Linked DNA regions of Neurospora crassa OR74A. The protein of the gene in region 1 binds, or shares a complex with, the protein of each later gene. Links are inferred from orthologs where the notes say so. Each region holds a gene or a part of one and is shown on either strand. Other genes may lie near its edges. The genes, in order: NCU07544 and mus-8.

The links.
Region 2: the proteins of NCU07544 (region 1) and mus-8 are in contact, whole or in part, in a crystal structure (PDB 7W75), measured with the Kluyveromyces lactis proteins. The link is inferred for Neurospora crassa OR74A from reciprocal best matches to the Saccharomyces cerevisiae genes BRE1 and RAD6. Residues at the interface, in XP_451665.1 of Kluyveromyces lactis: Ser17, Glu18, Pro19, Leu20, Thr21, Gln22, Val25, Ile26, Phe28, Gln29, Ala32, Leu33, Arg35, Cys36; in XP_452450.1 of Kluyveromyces lactis: Met16, Lys17, Glu18, Ser20, Met39, Ile41, Asp50, Thr52, Ser148, Trp149, Asp152, Met153, Glu154, Met156, Ala157.

What each region holds. Positions count from the first base shown.
Region 1 is NC_026503.1:4,425,729-4,430,162, reverse strand, and holds the start of NCU07544 (ubiquitin ligase BRE1), read left to right. Parts: upstream 1-1,571; 5' UTR 1,572-2,365; coding exon 2,366-2,545; intron 2,546-2,825; exon of another isoform or gene 2,826-2,914; intron 2,915-2,977; coding exon 2,978-3,121; intron 3,122-3,178; coding exon 3,179-4,434. Other genes in the region: NCU07543 (hypothetical protein), read right to left, coding at 1-872. UniProt on the Saccharomyces cerevisiae protein: E3 ubiquitin-protein ligase that mediates monoubiquitination of histone H2B to form H2BK123ub1 in association with the E2 enzyme RAD6/UBC2.
Region 2 is NC_026504.1:1,993,968-1,997,766, reverse strand, and holds mus-8 (mus-8), read right to left. Parts: upstream 2,360-3,799; 5' UTR 2,037-2,359; coding exon 1,995-2,036; intron 1,904-1,994; coding exon 1,839-1,903; intron 1,756-1,838; coding exon 1,531-1,755; intron 1,458-1,530; coding exon 1,334-1,457; 3' UTR 645-1,333; downstream 1-644. Other genes in the region: NCU09732 (acetyl-CoA acetyltransferase), read left to right, coding at 3,630-3,779. UniProt on the Saccharomyces cerevisiae protein: E2 ubiquitin-conjugating enzyme that accepts ubiquitin from the ubiquitin-activating enzyme E1 and transfers it to a E3 ubiquitin-protein ligase.

The DNA.
Region 1 (4,434 bases):
TTGCGCTTTCGAGGAGCCCGTGGTGCCCTTGGTACGGGCGCCTTCTTGGTAGTTTTGGTGGTTGGTGCAGCCGTTGCCTCGGCACTTGACTCTGCTCGACTCTCAGCAGAGCTCTCGGACTGGGTAACCGGCTGTGTAGTATCTGTGCTGGAACGCGTTGAAGCTGCCTCTGTAGACGAGGTTCCACTGGGGGTGGCCGAGGACGTGGTACTTGAAGGATCGGCAGTAGGTGTCGGGCGTGTAGCTCTGGATGGAGATTGTGCTATGATTTCTGATGTCGCCACGGAGCTTCTGCCTCTGGGCCTTGTGATTTCGATGATGGTCGGAGTAATGACCGCCGCCGGTGTACCCCTGGCTTTGGAAGGTGTCTGTCTTGGTGCCGCTGCTTTCGGATTCTCGGTCGCGGTCGTCGCATTCGAACTCTTTTCGCTTGTCGGTTTCTCGGCTGGCTTCTCAACTGGTTTCTCTACTGGCTTTTCCACGGGGGTACTCGCCGTTGCGGTAGGGGCTGGAGTTGGCGCCGGAGCTAGAACAGAAGCTGTAGCTGAGATCGTGGCAGGTTGTGCTTGCTTGTCCGTTGGAGCGGCATCTCTGGAAACCGGTTTGGCAACACTCGAAGACTCCTTCTCGGGGACCGTATCGCTTGCGAGAGTTGCAGGGGGTGTAGGCTGAGCTGAAGCTGAAGCCGGCGACACCTGACGGGTCGAGGGACCGGACTCGGCTGTGGGAGTGGCGGCAGCTGTGGTAGGTTGTGAGGTTGTCGACTCGGTCGGGGCGGGAGTTGAATCGGTGGATTTTGCTGAAGGAGGCGCGTTGCGACGAGCAACCACCTTGGGTTTGACCTTGGGGCCGAAGCCCGGTTTCTTGAGCATCTGGAGAATAGTCGGCGACTACCGGGAATCAACTACAGAGAAGGGGAGGCGTCGATGTTTTGGTGAGCATGGCCCACACAAGGCTGCCGACGATAAACAAAGACTATGTATGGTAGGGTTATGATGAGCCTCAAGCGATGCGACTTTGTTCTGGCGGGTATCGAATTGGTTTGGTGTGTGTCCAGAAAACCGTGAGGTTTGAAGATCGAGGATAGCGCGCGGCCAAGGGAGTCAATTGCTGCACATAGCGACTGAAAGACAGACGCGCGAGAGGTTACCCGCCTAATTGATTGTTGACTGATAAAGTGGTGATGGGAAAAAAGATGGGCGGGGTGGGTGGGTGGTCCAGTCCCGGCCGGTGGTGGTGGTGCACTGGGCCACTGGCTCCGGGTAGTCTGGTACCAGTTCACATCGGCCAGTGGCATGGGAGGAATCTACGCAGTACTTGTAGTGTAAAGTGCGATAAAGGCACCGCTGGCCAACCAAAAGCTGAAAGAGGCTTAGCGTGACGCATCCAAAGGGCGAGAGAGTGGATTCTGTCGGTCTGGCGGGCGGGTTCGCCGCCAGTCCATCTCCAGCTTTGCGCTCCCGTTCAAAGACCCACTTTTTGTGTCCAGCAGCGGCCGATGAGCGAAGGAACGAAGGTGTTGAGAATGTGGAAAGGTTGCAGTTGCAGACTGACAGACTTGATTCCTCCTCCAGGCCATTGCTCCCGCCCTTCCTCGTCACAGACAAACAGATGGAAGACGCGGGACTAACCAGAGAACAGTAATTCATCGACCCATTGTATTCAATTACCCTACTTACCTAACCTCGACACCTCGGCGGCCTGTCCGTTGCGGCTTGCTGCGCTGGTCCCTCTCAACTTAAGTTCTCTACTCTAAGTACCTATCTAGGCTGGGTCAAACTGGAGCCCGTCCGGCTCGGCTCTCCAGTCACGTTCTTCGACCTGCCTCAGGTGCTGCTCCGTCCTTTCCACACTTTCCATCCTCCGACACTTTGTTCAAGACTGGAACCCGCACGCTCCTTTTTGGCAGCGAGCCGTGACTGTCTTTTTTCCACCAAGTCTGCGCACCGGGTCTGTCCGTCCAACTTCACCACCCACCCACCCACCCACCCAGCTCACCCACAAACCCATCACATCGTCGTCGCCGACACGCCCCTCCGCATCCGTTGACGCCCTCATCGACGACGGAGAACGAGTCATCCACACCCCGTATGCAGTGGCGGTAAGAGAGGTCAACCATTACAGAGACCACCACGTCTTTCATCGCACACACGCACGCACGCACGCACGCACGCACGCACGCCCGGCTGGCTGCTCTCGCCTTCCGTTCTTGCTCTCCATTGCCGACCGCGCTTTTCCTTTCAACCTCTTTTCTTCTGCCTGCTGCTGCTTGGTTTCTGGCCTTGGTCCTTCGCTCGCGCTTTCGCCCTCCGCCGCCCGCGCCGACAACTGAGTTCCCGGTCCGCTCCCTCCAGCGCCTCACCTCATGCCGGTTGCCACCTCTCCCTCCGCTGTGCCTCGTCCTACCACCGTCAAGATGGAGGACAGGAAGAGACCCGCCGCCAACGCGGACGACGTTGCCCCTCCTAGCAAGCGACAGGCTGTCAACGGCACCAGCAAGTCCAAGGACGACTCCAACGATTCAAGGGAAGAGGCTTGGATTGAGGTAAGTTCCACAAATTGTCGGCTACCGCTTCATACCCACCCACCCCCTCCTTTCTCGCCCTTCCCCGTATCACCACATCCAAGCCTAGCCCCTCACATCCTCCACGCCGTCCGGCGTGTCCTATCCTCTCAGCCCCTCGACGCCGCTTGCCATCCACCGCAGTCGCGTCCGCTTTAGATAGCATCTTACGTGTCGGCCAACCTCCTGATGACCCTCACCGCGATGTTTTTGTTGGGGTACTCTCCTCGACCCTTGCTAATGCGCGGCTTGCTGGCAACAGCACGCCCGGCTCCCAGGATTCCCTCTTCATCATGCAATGCCTTGACCCTGCCTACTCCCAAATACCACGCTCCTTGACTCGCCCACGGTGTACATGAATCTCCTTTCACGGGCTTGGAGGCGACGGCTTGGCTGACTGGTTACAATGCGCAGGAATATCAAAAAGGTGCCATTTACCGGCAGATGCTCGAGTACAAGCGGTCAAAGGTCGACCTAGAACACCGTCTACAAGAAGCCGAGAAAAGCGCGGCTTTTCACGATGATCATTTGCGGGTTATCAAGTACTGGCTATCGCAGGTATGTCTCGGCCCCACTCATATCTCCACACGACAAAGCGCGCTGACAACCCCCCAGTTGACTCAAGAGCTAGAGTTGATTGTCGAAGGGTCCCTCAAATCCATAGCCCTCAAGCCCGTAGACTCCAATTGGGTATCGAGCCTCGCCTTTAAGGACAGCAAGGAATTCCGCCAACATTTGGACGACATCAAGAAACCCGTCATTCTCAAGGTCGAGTCGCTACTCAACAAGCTCGCCAGTTCCCGGGGCGAGGTCAAGCCCGATGTGGCGCAATTGGAAGCACAGGTGAAGTCTTTGCTGGCAAATCAAAAGGAACTAGCAGTGAAAATCGACAGACTCCAGGCCGAAAATGCGACGCTCTCCGAACAATATGATACCGCGACGCTCAAAGTGATCAAGGCGGAACGGAAGCTCGATAGGGTTAGAAGTGCCCAAGTCCAAAAATTGGAACAGCAGGCACTGGCCAACTCGACAACGCGACAAACCACAAATGACGAAAATGGCACAAGTTCAATTGCGGAAAACGGCGACGGCGCCGAGTACAAGACCAAATACAAGGAAGCCATTGCCGTGGCCAACAAGCAAAAAGAACAGATTGAATCTCTTCTTGCCGAAATCAAGACCTTGCAAGAAGAAAATGCCAGTTTCAAGATCAAGAAGGAGGGCATTTCCGAGGAAGATTATGCCCGGACCGACGTATTCAAGCAGTTCAAGGCTCAAAACGAGGATCTCATCAAGCGCATCAACAACCTGGAGGCCGTCAACAAGCAGTTCCGGGAAGACGCCGAGAAGCTGCGGGCCGAACGAACATCGTACCGTGCCACCCTGGAACAAGAAGCCCAGGCTCTCACGTCAGACCTGGAGGACCAGATACAACAAAAGGACCAGGATCTCACTAGGATCCGCTCCGCAAGGGATGAACTTCTTGCTGAACTTGCAATGCGCAAGGCAAGCCAGGAACAGGAAAAGACAGCATCCGCTCACCTGAATGAGCTTGTTGAGGCCATGACAGATCGCGTAACCCAACTAGAATCCGAACTTGAGAGGTTAAGACCAACGGAAGATGTAGCCAAGGCCGCCCCGACGGATGATTTAAGCACTCTCTCGGCTGAAGAGCTCCGTGAGAAGTTTGCCAAGTTGGAGCGGGATTACGAGGCGATCAACAAGGAGCTTCCAGCACTCGAGAAGTCATATAGGAAGGCTATGGGTATCGCCCATAAGAAGGTGATGGATTTCACTGCTCTGGAGGAGCGGGTTGCTATTCTCACAGCGGAAAAGAGCAAAGCAGACCAGAAGTACTTTGCGGCGCGCAA
Region 2 (3,799 bases), on another chromosome or scaffold:
CCAATCTGAAACCCATTCCCTGAGGTAATTTGATCGCACGTTTCTAGCAGACTCAAGTGGCACAAGTATACAAGCCAGTATTCTTGGAGATGCCCGCCCCCTTTCCTGCTGTTCGAGTTGCCTATGGCCATTTCTTTGCTCTTTTGGGTAACTTGCAATCAATTTTCAAGATACCTCTCTACGTTGTCAATTCGAGCTTTCAAGAGGCTACCGCTCGCTGTAGGTAGAGGAGCCTAGCCAAGTTCAGCTACCCACAATATATAAACAACCTCACCCCTCATGCAGATCATACGCAAAGCGTCAGTCCTACAACATAAAATCGTACCTATGCAAGTTATGAGAAGTCTTCCAAAAGAGCCATGTAGAGCTGGGTAAGTCGGACCAGGACGTACCATACAGACTTGAGAACCTTGTTTCCAGATTGCAGGGTTAAAAGTGTTCGGAAGCCACGTACACTAATGCTCTCTGACGGCCGCCAAAAGCATCTGACAGCCCTTTAACCCTGCGTTTTCTGGGCATTTACGATAGAGGTAGTCAGCCTGTCTTTCACTCTCACAGGGACCCTTGCATCCAAGGTATGCCTGTTAACGTGAGCGTGTATTAAACAACGCCGCAGTTCGAAATGTGCACGCTAGACTTGACTCTCAGCCTTAGGTATAGGTGATATAAATCATGTGGATGTAAGGCACCAAGCGGGGTCATGTACACTTTCGTCAAAGAAACAGAGGAAAGCTGAGAAATGCAAGACTCTCTGGAAACTCGTACATCTAAGCCGGCCGACATAACATGGTGAGCTTTTTGCAATGAAAGACACTATGCCATCTCTTCATCTCTAAGACAAAAGAAAAGAACGCTATCTAGGGCTTTTTGGGGTGAGTTGAGGTATCCAGGGACTGCCCTCGCCAGATGTGCTTGTGTTGGTATGATACGAGCGCCTAAACTCCAAACCCGACAATCGCCCTAAAGAGTGAGAAAAACCAAGCACTCCCGCTCTCTCCATTGCAGACAAGCAGGCTGACTCTCAGCCATCAATAGGCGAGAGATGCGGATATTTGAAATACAACAAAAACGCCCCGAAAGAACGACGCCTCCCAAATGCAATGTAATATCACGACATCCGTTCCACCCTCACGCCCTAAAAGGCCAAACCGCCGGGTATCCTCGAATGTGGATCATCTCGCAACTCGTCGTCGGTCGACAACTGACTGTTGATATAGCCAAGAGATCTGTATCGAACAGCCCAGTGAGCAATATCAACACCGACTTGCAGCACCCAGATCAATCATTGGCTTTTTGCCATTGAGGGCCCCGTGGTGATAAATGTCGTCACTATTCAATCCTCCCAGCTCTTCTCAACAGTTTCCCGGACCCTCTTGTGGTATTCTTTGCGGTTGTCCTTGTATAGATTGGAGGCTTCGACGTTTGCAGGCGATCCTGTGTTCGGGTCATTGAGCAAACTAGTCAAGACAGTTTTGTCAGCATAATAACACAACGCAAAATGAACGTCAACAAGATATTATGCAGTCGTACCTCTGAATACTGGTAAGAACAGCCGCGACGTCGTACGTAGGACTCCAGCGGTTCTGAAGGATATCGAGACAAAGTTCGCCAGTGGCGTAAACATTGGGGTGGAACATCTCGCTGATGAACTTGACCGAAGGAGGCTTATTGGGATACTGCTCCTCAAAGTGCATCACCAGGCGGAAGGTGCCATCTTCGAAGGGCGTATCGGCGGGTCCGATGATCACGGCGTTCCTATATGGAGACTCATGTCAGTCATTGCCATGCCGGGGGTCGACCGCCCATAACGACACCGCAGCAAAGATCGTTCTCCTTACCATGTCATAACATTATCGGGTACGGGAGAGGCGGAAACACCAGCGGGAGGATCGGTTTGCATGCGCTGTCGAGGAACATGGTGAGTATATTGTGCTCATGGCGGCCAAGTCATCAAGCGGTGTGAACCCAACGGGGTGGCTCATGATGTCTCGCACCTTGAAGTCTCGCATGAGCCGGCGGCGGGCAGCGGTTGACATTTTGGCTTTGGTGATGGATGATGAAGTCGGCCCAGGCGTATGGAGAGAAAGCTACAAGGTTGATGGAGTACGTAGGATCGATGCGATACTTTGTTCGAAGTCGAGATGGGTTTCGTGGTTGGAATAGCGAAGAGACAATCAAACGAACTGATTTGAAGGGGCGGAGATGAATGACGGAAACCAGCAGAGCCAACAAGTGAACGCGCATTAACGACCGCTATCTTATCATACCCAACTGATTGCCCGGAGGGGGGCGTCACAAAGAAGCTAGGAGAACGCGCGCCGAGGGCAGGGGCAATGAACAGTGACTGCCCCGGTTGACAATTGCCGCCGGATTGTTAATAGCACTTTTCTGATTCTCGGCCAATTACACTTGGGTATGAAGCGACTGGTGGCTCGTGCGCGAGGTGACTGCCAGCTGATGGAATGGGATCACACAGTCACACACCTTCTCTCACGCCACCGCCGAATGGTTGTCCAGCCAAACATCTAACTAATCGAACTGACAAATGAATCCCAAGAAAACATCAGAAATTGTAGCATGACAGCCAATTGTTCGGGTTGAATCAGTGATTTGATCAAGCTGTCTCCTGTGGCATCCCCCGGCAGCTGCCCGAAAACACTTCAACGCCGCAATAGGATCGTTGCTTGGAACCAACGCAACATCTCAAACATATCGCGTTGGGAAGCTCGGCTTTTGTTCCCGCGTGTAAAGTGGTTCGCTTCTGCCCAACATCCAAAGACGCGCGCGGGATGGCAATTGCAGGGACAACCGCGACTGGGATAGATTGTTAAGTGATGCGAAACGACTCTTGAGCGTGCAGTGCCCTGGCCTTTTGATCCCTGATTTTATGCGGGCAGTATCCGGTACAGCTAGGTATGATGCCGGCGCTGGGCAACAGGAGGCTGCGGAAAGAGTGAATGAACTGCTTGGAGAGCATCCACCCCCGAATCGATCCGTTGACCGTTTCCCCTCCGCTACGGCTTCAACTCTGGCTCCATCTGATGTTTCTCCATCCGCCCGTGGGTACGGCACTCATGGGCTCATGACCCAAGCAGGGCATTCTTCAGTTGTTGTGGATGAGGAGCTTCCCCTGTCGGTCAGCGGCAGGCTCCACGGGAAACCCCGGATACCAAGCTTCTGTGTCCCTTGCGCCCGTTGGGGTCCCCGCGGAGGAACCACGGTGGCGGCCACTGTTTGGCGCTCAATTGGCGGGGTGAAGCATCGCTTTGGTGTGAATCCTCTCCACACATGTACCGTCACAAGCCGACCGGTGCCATCATGGCATCTGACAAGTTCCGAGGAAAAGAAAGCGGGAAGGAGAGGAAGAGACCACCTAGCTATCGCCTCCCCAACTGGTAGTTTTATTAATCATTTTTAAACAATAGAAGAAAGTCTTCCCTGTGATTCTGTCCCTACTCCCAATTATTTCCTGCTCCTGTTTTTGTGTTGCCTCTCCTGTTGTGCTGTTGTTCATTCCCCGTTCGGCCATCTTCCTTTCTTCCTTCTCGCCAGATTCCCCTCCGACATCTGCGCTGTGCAGTACCGCCCCTACGTCCTGTAACTCATCGTCACCAGCTTCCGACATCAGAATGGTTCTTAGCCACGCCAGGACAGCCGCTGGCTCGGCTTCGCGCACTTCCCGTGTCGCTTGCGCTCGTCTTTTTTCCACCCAGTCTGCTCTCCGCCAGCAGATTCAGGATGCCTACATTCTCAGTGGTGTGAGGACACCAACGGCCAAGGTAAAGCGCTCCGTAAAATC